2 linked regions of the Daphnia pulex genome follow. The protein of the gene in region 1 purifies or fractionates together with the protein of each later gene. This does not show direct contact. Links are inferred from orthologs where the notes say so. Each region holds a gene or a part of one and is shown in the gene's direction. Other genes may lie near its edges.

Region 1 (5,245 bases):
TTAAGCGAGCAGATAGGAAATCGAGGGCGACACCACCCTTGAGTGGCCCCCACAGTCCTTTAGGGTTGCCACTCCATTTTGTCTGGCGTGTCAAAAGATTTAAATTATAATCAGGGTAATTATTACTGATAAGAAACCGAAAATCAGATGAATGAAATTTAACATTGTTTTACCCAGATGACATGTAAGTGCCGACCATTGAGGGAATTGAACTCCGTTGACGAGAATCCGCAGTTGGAAATGGTGAGCCATAGAATTAAAAGTAAAGAATACATCGCAAGATATTAGAATAGATCTCTAGGACAGAACAAATTGGGTTGGAGTCTTGAGAACGACTGGACATCTTTCTGTTCATTGTAATAAAGTTAAGCTCATGTAACACCGGAGAAGTTTCAGGTAATTTTCCGTTTCCATAGCGACACGCACATCATATGCAAATAAATGACTTTTGATAGTCGGCAATTTCTCGATAGAAGATGATATGTCTGTGTGTGTATCTGACATTGATGTCTCATCTTTTATTTCCGATATTATCCAATATTATCCAAACTGCAACAACCATACATAAGCCTACTGTTCTATTCACGTTTGTGATCCACGTCAGCTGTCAATTCTCTGTCTCATCTATATTCAACTACTTTGAATAACGTCAGGTGCTCAGACTGGACTCGGTTTGTCTACTCATATCTAATGTGCGTCTATACTGTATTGCACTAATAAGCGCTCATTCGAATACTTGGGATTCGTTTCCTTATTTGACTCTGAGTTACTCTAACAATTTATTTTTCGAAATGGACTATGCTTATGCGTGCTTGCAACGAGGAGGTGTGATGGTACACAACAGGTTTCTCTTTGTTAAAAAAATGTTCTAGTTGCACTTTGCTTGAAGTGTTTAAAGTTCAAATATTTTTCGAATTTGATTGTTTACCCAAAGGCAAAAGTTGTGAGGTACAAAACAAAAACAAGCCTGATCTGCAGTCGTTCTACAAATGCGTTACTTAACCCAAAACTGAGTAAACAAACACGGCAAGAGAAAACAGTTACAGTCAACGGCCTAACTCAGGAATGATAGTAGGCCTACTCTGTACTATGTAACGATTTGAAATCATCCAATAAGCCACCAAATAGTCAACAGGAAGAATAGTTAGATAATATTTGTTCTACCTTTAAGCCTGGGAAATACGGCCAGGCATCCAAAAGTGCTCCATCAGTTGAAGAGTTGAATTACAGCTGACAGGAAAAAGGGGGTCCTCGTGAATATCCCCACAGACACATGTACATGAGGACATTTCAAGAAAGGGGAAGAAGAGTTACGTAACCCGACCGACATCGATGGTTTCTCCAATAAAACGGGATGCTGTTTATCTAAATACAAATAAAAAGAAGTCACGACAAATGTTTGCAGAAACAACAAGTAAGCAGTAAGGAAAAGTTGAAAATGTGGGTAGACCCAATTTTTAATAAACAGGAGAATTAAAAGTTAACAAGCAATTGGGCAAGTCACATGAAAAAGAGTATCGAAAATTATTACCCACGCGACGATACCATGGTATGATACCTGAAGAAATTTGAAGATTTTTGCTGATGACAGGTCAATGGTATATTTCAACAGTATATTTCTGTGATCATGTGATGTCCAATCACAGAAAAAAAAACATGCAGCAACAACTCTGACTCTTCTTTATAACTTTTAAGGATAATTTATAATTCTATTCTTTCCCTATTCACTTAAAATTTTAAGTTATTTTATTTCTGCTTTTAGATGTTTTGTTTTGTGAAAGCAGCGCCACCGTATTTGAACGGGTTCTAGATATCGATCGTGATAGCTTATATCGATATAGTATTTCAATGTATCGATCTTTAAAGGAACAGACGAAATTTCAAGTTGTTATTTCTTATTTTTTATTTGTTATGATCAGAGGTTCTTTGAGATAGGCGCCATTAGAATTTGTTGTATTTGTGAAATCATTTCTCACAAAATCAATTATTGATTTTGCTTAGATTAAACAACTTTTATTTTTCGAAAAAGTTTATCATCATAGAGCCAAAATACCATTCCAGTAAACTTTAAAATGCCCTTGCCTCGACTACCAGGATTCGTTCTTCAATCGAAAATTGGAAGCGGAACCTTTTCTGATGTCTACAAAGCATATCAGATTGTAAATATTGCTTATCCAATTAGTCATTTTTAAATTATATTATTATTTTTTATTCTTTGTTTTAATGATGTTTCTTTCATTCATTCAGAGTAGCCCTAAACAAATTGTTGCTGTTAAATGTATATTAAAGAATGAATTATCTGCAAACACGGTAAACAGTATAGTACATGAAATCGAGGCCTTGAAACGTCTCAGACATCCACACATCATTCAAATGCTAGATTTTCAATGGGATGAAAAGTGAGTATCTGATTGAACACATGGAAAGCTACTTGTGTTACAATTTAACTTATTGCATGGTCCATTGGCCTTGTGTTTCTTTATTATTATTAACCAAAATCTTAATTCAGAACTGCATCAGCCTAGTGAAAAAATGTTTAAGATTTTAACTGCATAAAATATTGTGGTGACTGTGATATTTAGCAAAGTTCAATCATATCACGAGATCAAAGTGTATTTTGTCCTAAAGTTATCAGTGACGGCTTATATACCCCCAACAGCTATCAATTCCTACACATTGGAAGATACTTTGTAGGACGTTTATTGAGCAGATAAGAAATTCTGTTTGATTACAAGTTGTGAATTAGGTTTTATCAAATAGTGCACTGTATTTAAATAACCATGCTTTTTTTTAACAATTTTAAAAATCTTCCCTAGTTAAAAATTTTTAACCGCTTATTTTTTTGTCTCTTTTTTCGCAGTTTTATCTATATAATAATGGAATATTGCGAAGGTGGAGACCTATCCATCTTTATTAGAAACTACAAACAACTAAAAGAAGACATTTGCCGATCATTTTTAAGTCAACTAGCGTTTGCCTTGCAATACCTGCGGCAACATAATATTGTTCACATGGATCTTAAACCAAGTAACTTGTTGTTAACATCCCGAAAACATCCAGTTTTGAAGCTAGCAGGTAATGCGAACCAACTTCTCCCCACTCACATATTAAAGAAATCTTTATTTATTATTTTTTGAATGCAGATTTTGGTTTGGCTCAATCTCTTAAAAACCGGGAAAAAGAAACTTCTTACAGAGGATCCCCATTATACATGGCTCCAGAGATTCTCCGGCGACAAAGTTATGACGCCTCTGTCGATCTGTGGTCAACTGGTGTGATTTTATACGAATGTTTATTTGGTAGACCTCCATGCTCGTCTAAAAGCTTGAAAGAATTGGTGGAAAAAATTCAAAGTGATGCTCCTATAACAGTAAGTGTTGGATAAATAGTTTAATTCTCGCTCATGATAATATTTCCTTTTAAAATACCTGTAGATTCCAACCACTATAGAGCTATCATCCAATTGTAGAGACCTTTTAATTCGATTATTGCAAAAGGACCCCAATAAGCGGTTGACATTTGAACAATTCTTCAATCATCCTTTTGTCAATTTGCCTGCTTGTGTCCTCCAACGTCTCCTGTCCTCCAACAGTGGTCTGTTAGAGGCTAATTCAGTTTTTGAGCGTGCTGAAAATTCGTATAAGTCAAATCGAGGAAATGAAACTCTTATTCTCTACCGTCAAGCCCATGCTCTTCTAAAGCCGTTAATATCAGGTATCATTTTCCGGCTAATATTTCTGATTTAACCAATAAAATACTTTGTAATCCCAGGTGCTGATGCGGTCACGAAATCTAAATTGAGTGGACAACTTCATACATGTTCCTGCCGAATCAAAGAAATGTCGATTGTCCCTGAAGTACCTTCTACTCAATTAACCAAGTCCAACGTTTCAACGACGTTTCAAGAACTCCGTAAGATAATTCCGTAAACATAAATTATCTTCAATTTTCTGTTAACGTATTATAATTGGCTGGTAGGTTCCCTGGCGTCCGCTACACCGAATTTAGCCTCGGCGCTGGAAATAGGCAAAGAAGGAGTGCAATACGATTCAGAGGGACAGCATGTTTTTGCATTAGAGGTTACATGTTGATTAATTTTCATTCAAATCAACCGATAAAATTAAATTATATCAATCAGCGTTACAAAGCAGCACTGGATGTAATGATACCAATGCTTCGCCATGAATCCAAGGGACGCAGGAGAGATTTGCTTCATCAACAGGTTCAATTTTCCGAATAAAATGTTCAATTAACTTGCTAAATTTTGACGTAAAATTGTATTAGGTCACATTATGGATGGAAAGAGCTGAACAGTTGCAAGAATTCCACAATCTCCAACAGTCACAGCTGGAAGAACTACAGGCTGAAGATGCTAGCGGTAAATCAAATTTAGTTTAGGCTTGATAAAATAATTAACATTAAATCTTATTTGAAGGGCAATATTGCTGTATTCAGTAACAAGTCTTCGGCGACCAATCAACCGGTGAATGGTGATACACAAAAAAAAAGAAGCTATGGTTGCAAAAATAAAACAGTTTCTCTGCCATTCGAAATACACGAAAATAGAAAGTAGCCCCAATTTATGACTCGTTTCCCCTTCTATACACGAAGCGTATACCTTTTGTATGCTTGCTGGCTTTCACTTTTCCTTTCTTCTTTTGTTATCCTGATCGAAAAAAATATAATGTGAAGAACTAGACTGACTTCTAAAATCCTCTCTATGTGAATCCTTAATTTAAGTTAACATTTTTGTAATGGTGTCGTGGCATATCTATTACATATGCGATGGATCAGATAAGATTGATAGTAATTTTCGATAAAACGAGTGTCTGACATTCGGGCCACGGTCAGGTGTTGGACTAGAAAGTACCAAAATTATTTTCACGTTAATATTTAAAAAAAAAATGCATTTAAACCATTCGGCCTTCTAATTCTTTTTCCCCTAAACTTGAAATAATTCCCCTTCATGTCCCTGTTCTAATTGATTTTGTAATTCCGTTCTCTCTTTCATTTTCTTGTCCATGTTGGTGTGAAGCGTTTCACCGTATATCAATTCCGTGTGGTTGGCGAGATTTCACGAGCAACTACATTTCGATGGCTCTGTACCAATAGAAAGGGACAACTGCTGGGAAAAAAGGGAAAGTTTTGCTAGGAAATCAAGGGCTGCCTTTCTTTCAAAATTATGTTGGTCGTTTCTCTTTTCTCTACAATTTCACTCTTAGTTTGGTATTATTACTCACAATTT
Region 2 (4,127 bases), on another chromosome or scaffold:
TGGTGGATTGCTTGTTAATATGTCCCTTACTCTGTCTATGGAGGTAGACCCCCCTCCCCCACTGCTCTAGATGCCAATACTGGAGCCATTGCGTTAGCTAACAAATCGTTAAAAATCACAACCCTGACGCACGACAACGTCCTTGACGCGTCGTATACCAAATCCCCAAGTCTTGTTTTTTCCATTGGATTGGAGACGAAGCCCGACGACCCAGCCCTCGTCAAAAACCACCCACCCACCCAACTTCAAAGTTGAGTAGGTGGGTGAAAGGGTGACGAGATAATAGAGAGAGAGAGATAAGACTTGGGGATTTTGCATACGACGCGTCATGGACGTTGCCGTGCGTCAGGGTTGACACCTTAGTGATTTTGTACCAAAACGCAACAGACGCTTCGGTCCCAACCCTACTCACCCGATGAAGGACTAAAAAACATCTAGACCTCTCAGAGAAAAGATTCCCTATTTCGAGAGAGTCGATTTTAAAGAACAGATAAAACGTTATTTTTCTGAACAATTCAAAAAATTAGCTCTGTCATTCCAGGAACATTTAGCCAACCTGAAAACCCAGAACCCGTTACTGGATACAATGAATGGAAAGATTTAATCATAGAACCATTTAAGGACCCATCTGAGAATCAATTTTTTAAGAACGAACTGTCTGAAATTGAACAAAAAGCTAACGAACGAGTAAGAGAATTTCGCCCACGTTTAGAAACATGATTTGTTAAAGCCTACAACGGAATGCTTTTTTCCATAGTACAAATGAAGATATGACTCTCAAAAGAAACGACATTCGAAGGAAAAAAAGAATGCATTTGAAGGAGGACTCAAAAGGGAGTTACTCCCAGGTGAAAACAGAGTACTGCGCGATGCTGACTACGCAACATGTGAAGTCACAGCAACAGATATAGAAAGAAGTTTAGCACGCAAAAAATCAACTTCTCACAAAAACCGTCATTCACAAATAAGCGCTATTAGTTTACACAAAAAATTACTTTTAGTATTATTCGAATTACTTTAATTGTCTTTTAATGATTTATTTTAAGTTTATGGTAACCGCCATAAACTCCGTGTTAAACACGGCTCGAAGCCTCGAACATTTTGTCGCGCTGTTAAATTAATTTTAAAATAATAAATGTTAACGAAAATGTAAAAAATTTGTAACACATTTTTATCAACAGTGTTGTGGCCGATATTTTTTTTTTACCGCGAGCCCGGCCCGATTAACAGAAACAAACATCATGTCAAGGTCGTGATCTTTTTTGCGATCGCCGCTAGATGGCAAGGGGAAATGATTACCAACGTTTTCAAGAATCAAGACAAAGCACAAAGCAATTTGCAAAAATACATTTAATCACTGAAACTTTATAAACTTTAATGTATAACAATAATTTTTTATATAAAAATAAAAACAATAATTTATTGGTGGTGCTATTTAAAAAAAGGGTTTTTTTATTAATTAAAGATAGCGACGATCGCAAATCTGATCGAGCGATTTCTGGCCTGCAATTCCGATCCCGGTCGCGTTTTTCAGTTTGGATCGCGATCGCTAAAAATTTACCGTGGTCGTGATCGCACGATCGAACGATTGCAATCGTCACGACATTTTTTATTAATAAAATAAGTATCAGTTTATAATGAATAAATTTTTTGAATTAAGACCCCTATTTCCCGTATATAAATGTTTAATGGTTCATTTCTTTAAGATCCCACGCTACGATTTTGTCCGGGTTTTATTATGTAAATAGTGTGTAATGTGTCAATAATGTTCATTTTTCCTAAAGGCTAAAACTAAAACCCCCCTTTTTTTAGCTAAAATGGCCTTAGTAGAGACGAAGTTGCTTTAGTCCATTCAGGAACAAGCTCCACCCATCGCCAGAGGGGTGTACCTCTTTGGAGTTATCACTTAGGCAAAGGTTCAGTTTTCTGCCACCACTCTGTCGAGTCTACAATCGTAGATTCGTAGTGTTAGCGTTTAGATAATCTGTCACTTTCCACTTTTCCATTAAGTTCTTAACTTTATCGCGAATAAAATGGTAGACTACAGCAAATGGAAAAATATCGAGGTAAATTGTTGCTTCAAAAATGTTGTGTTGTTATTTTACCATATTTTTGCGGGTTCTCTAACCTTCTATTTATTGTCAGTATAGTATTTAATCGTAATTAAGTATCGTAATTAAGTATTCGTTATTTATATGTTTCATTTAAACACTCACGTACTTCATAATACTTTACAGATATCTGACGATGAGGATGATACACATCCTAACGTTGACACGCCTTCTCTGTTCAAATGGCGACACGAAGCTAGATTAGAAAAAATGAAGGAAATGGAACAAGAAAAAGCTCTGTTTCTCAAAGCAAAAAATGAGTAATGCTAAATAACTAGCTTTAATGTTTTTGTTAAAGTTTACATTAAATCAAACTTTTCTAACAAAGGAACACTGCCAAACTAAAAGAAGTTAAAAGTAAGTATGAACAGGTGATGAAAGAAGGTATTGATGTGACAGATTTGAAAAAGCAATTGAGTGAATTAGAATCGAAAAAAATTGAACTCGAAGATCATGAAGAACAAATGAAAAAAAAGGAAAAGTTGATGCCATGGTATTTAAAAGATTCACTTCAATATATCCTAATGTGATGTCTAATTTCAAAGTTTAATTGTGGTTTTTTTGCATATTTTTTTTAGGAATGTAGATACAATTAGTCAACCTGGATTTTCAAAAACTGTGGTCAATGTTGACCAACCCAAAAAAGTGAAAGAGCTCACTGAAGAGGAGAAAGAAATCAAAACACGTGAATTTTTCAAGAAACATGAGAAAAATCTTAAGGCATATGGAATGCTACAAAAGTATGATGATAGTAAGCGTTTCCTTCAAGAAAATCCAGAGCTGGTTTGTGAAGAAACAGCAAACTATCTCGTGATTTGGTGTATTAATTTAGAAATGGAAGAGAAAACAAGTTTAATGGAACATGTTGCCCATCAGTGCATTTGCATGCAATTCATTCTTGAATTATCCAGGCACCTTAACAGAGATCCAAGATCATGTGTGTCTTCATTCTTTTCAAGGTTTATCTTTATATTAAGTTGTCCTTTATGTAGCTATAACTAAATGAATTGTTTACTATTTTATCTCTTTTAGAATTCAAATCGCAGATGTTGAGTATCGTAAAGGATTTGAAGACGAACTTGTAGCTTTCAAAGACCGTATACAACGGCGGGCGAAAGAGAAAATAGAAGCTGCAATTGCCGAAGCTGAGGAGGAAGAAAAGAAAAAACGACTTGGTCCTGGAGGGTTGGATCCCGTTGAAGTATTTGAAAGTTTACCGGAGGTATAATTGAGCAAGACACATAAATTTCCTTCCACATATATGAATCATGTGTTTTGTTGTGTAGGTTCTTAAGGATTGTTTTGAAAAACAAAACATTGAGCTTCTTCAACAAGCAATTTCAACACTACCTGAAGAAGAAGCACGGTTTCATATGAAAAGATGTGTTGACTCCGGATTGTGGGTACCCGACGGAAATGTTGCTGGAAATATTGCAGAAAATGTTGCAGAAAATTAAAATACTAGTTTGGATTATTATATTCATTAATAATGAATTAATACACTGGGGCTTTTGAATAACGTGTATTTGACGTTTTTACCTCCAGTTTCATACTCACCTCACTTTAAAATTGTAAAGTTAAAAAGCCTTAAGAACAGACAAGTTACTGCTATAAAAACATACGCTAGTATTCTTCAGTCTGGAATTGCGACTCTTCCACTTCGTATTTAATGTTGTCAGGATCATATTGATTATAGCCATCATATTGTTGGGCCGTATAGTCATAATCTGCAAATTTCAATTCCACAAATTAGTAATAGATATTTTTCATTAACAGCTAATTCCAATACCATCAGGCGGTTCTTCCTTCACTCGCACTTGTTCACCATCCTCCCGAACATAGTCCCTACGCTCTCGTTCCCTGTGAAAAATTATTCATTAAATTCTGAAGTTGAATTCGATAATTTGATTGCTTACTTATCCTTGTAACGATCGCGACGTTCCCGGCGATCCTTGTTCTTGTCTTTAACTCGATCTTTTTCTTTGCGACGCTCATCGCCAGAAGCGACTTGACCAG

What was found. The genes of interacting proteins can lie anywhere in the genome.
Region 2: the proteins of serine/threonine-protein kinase ULK3-like (region 1) and hsp90 co-chaperone Cdc37-like purify together in Homo sapiens (affinity purification with mass spectrometry; 3 studies listed by BioGRID and IntAct, with this or other methods). This does not show direct contact. The link is inferred for Daphnia pulex from reciprocal best matches to the Homo sapiens genes ULK3 and CDC37.

What each region holds. Positions count from the first base shown.
Region 1 is NC_060023.1:1,269,516-1,274,760, forward strand, and holds serine/threonine-protein kinase ULK3-like, read left to right. Parts: upstream 1-1,848; 5' UTR 1,849-2,072; coding exon 2,073-2,159; intron 2,160-2,247; coding exon 2,248-2,399; intron 2,400-2,860; coding exon 2,861-3,075; intron 3,076-3,143; coding exon 3,144-3,370; intron 3,371-3,434; coding exon 3,435-3,714; intron 3,715-3,771; coding exon 3,772-3,912; intron 3,913-3,978; coding exon 3,979-4,079; intron 4,080-4,138; coding exon 4,139-4,222; intron 4,223-4,284; coding exon 4,285-4,378; intron 4,379-4,435; coding exon 4,436-4,458; 3' UTR 4,459-4,705; downstream 4,706-5,245. Other genes in the region: ionotropic receptor 93a-like, read right to left, coding at 1-82, 174-275. UniProt on the Homo sapiens protein: Serine/threonine protein kinase that acts as a regulator of Sonic hedgehog (SHH) signaling and autophagy.
Region 2 is NC_060026.1:6,136,376-6,140,502, forward strand, and holds hsp90 co-chaperone Cdc37-like, read left to right. Parts: upstream 1-1,907; 5' UTR 1,908-2,033; coding exon 2,034-2,066; intron 2,067-2,237; coding exon 2,238-2,371; intron 2,372-2,439; coding exon 2,440-2,604; intron 2,605-2,689; coding exon 2,690-3,070; intron 3,071-3,143; coding exon 3,144-3,333; intron 3,334-3,397; coding exon 3,398-3,568; 3' UTR 3,569-3,627; downstream 3,628-4,127. Other genes in the region: U1 small nuclear ribonucleoprotein 70 kDa-like, read right to left, coding at 3,735-3,838, 3,901-3,971, 4,028-4,127. UniProt on the Homo sapiens protein: Co-chaperone that binds to numerous kinases and promotes their interaction with the Hsp90 complex, resulting in stabilization and promotion of their activity. Inhibits HSP90AA1 ATPase activity.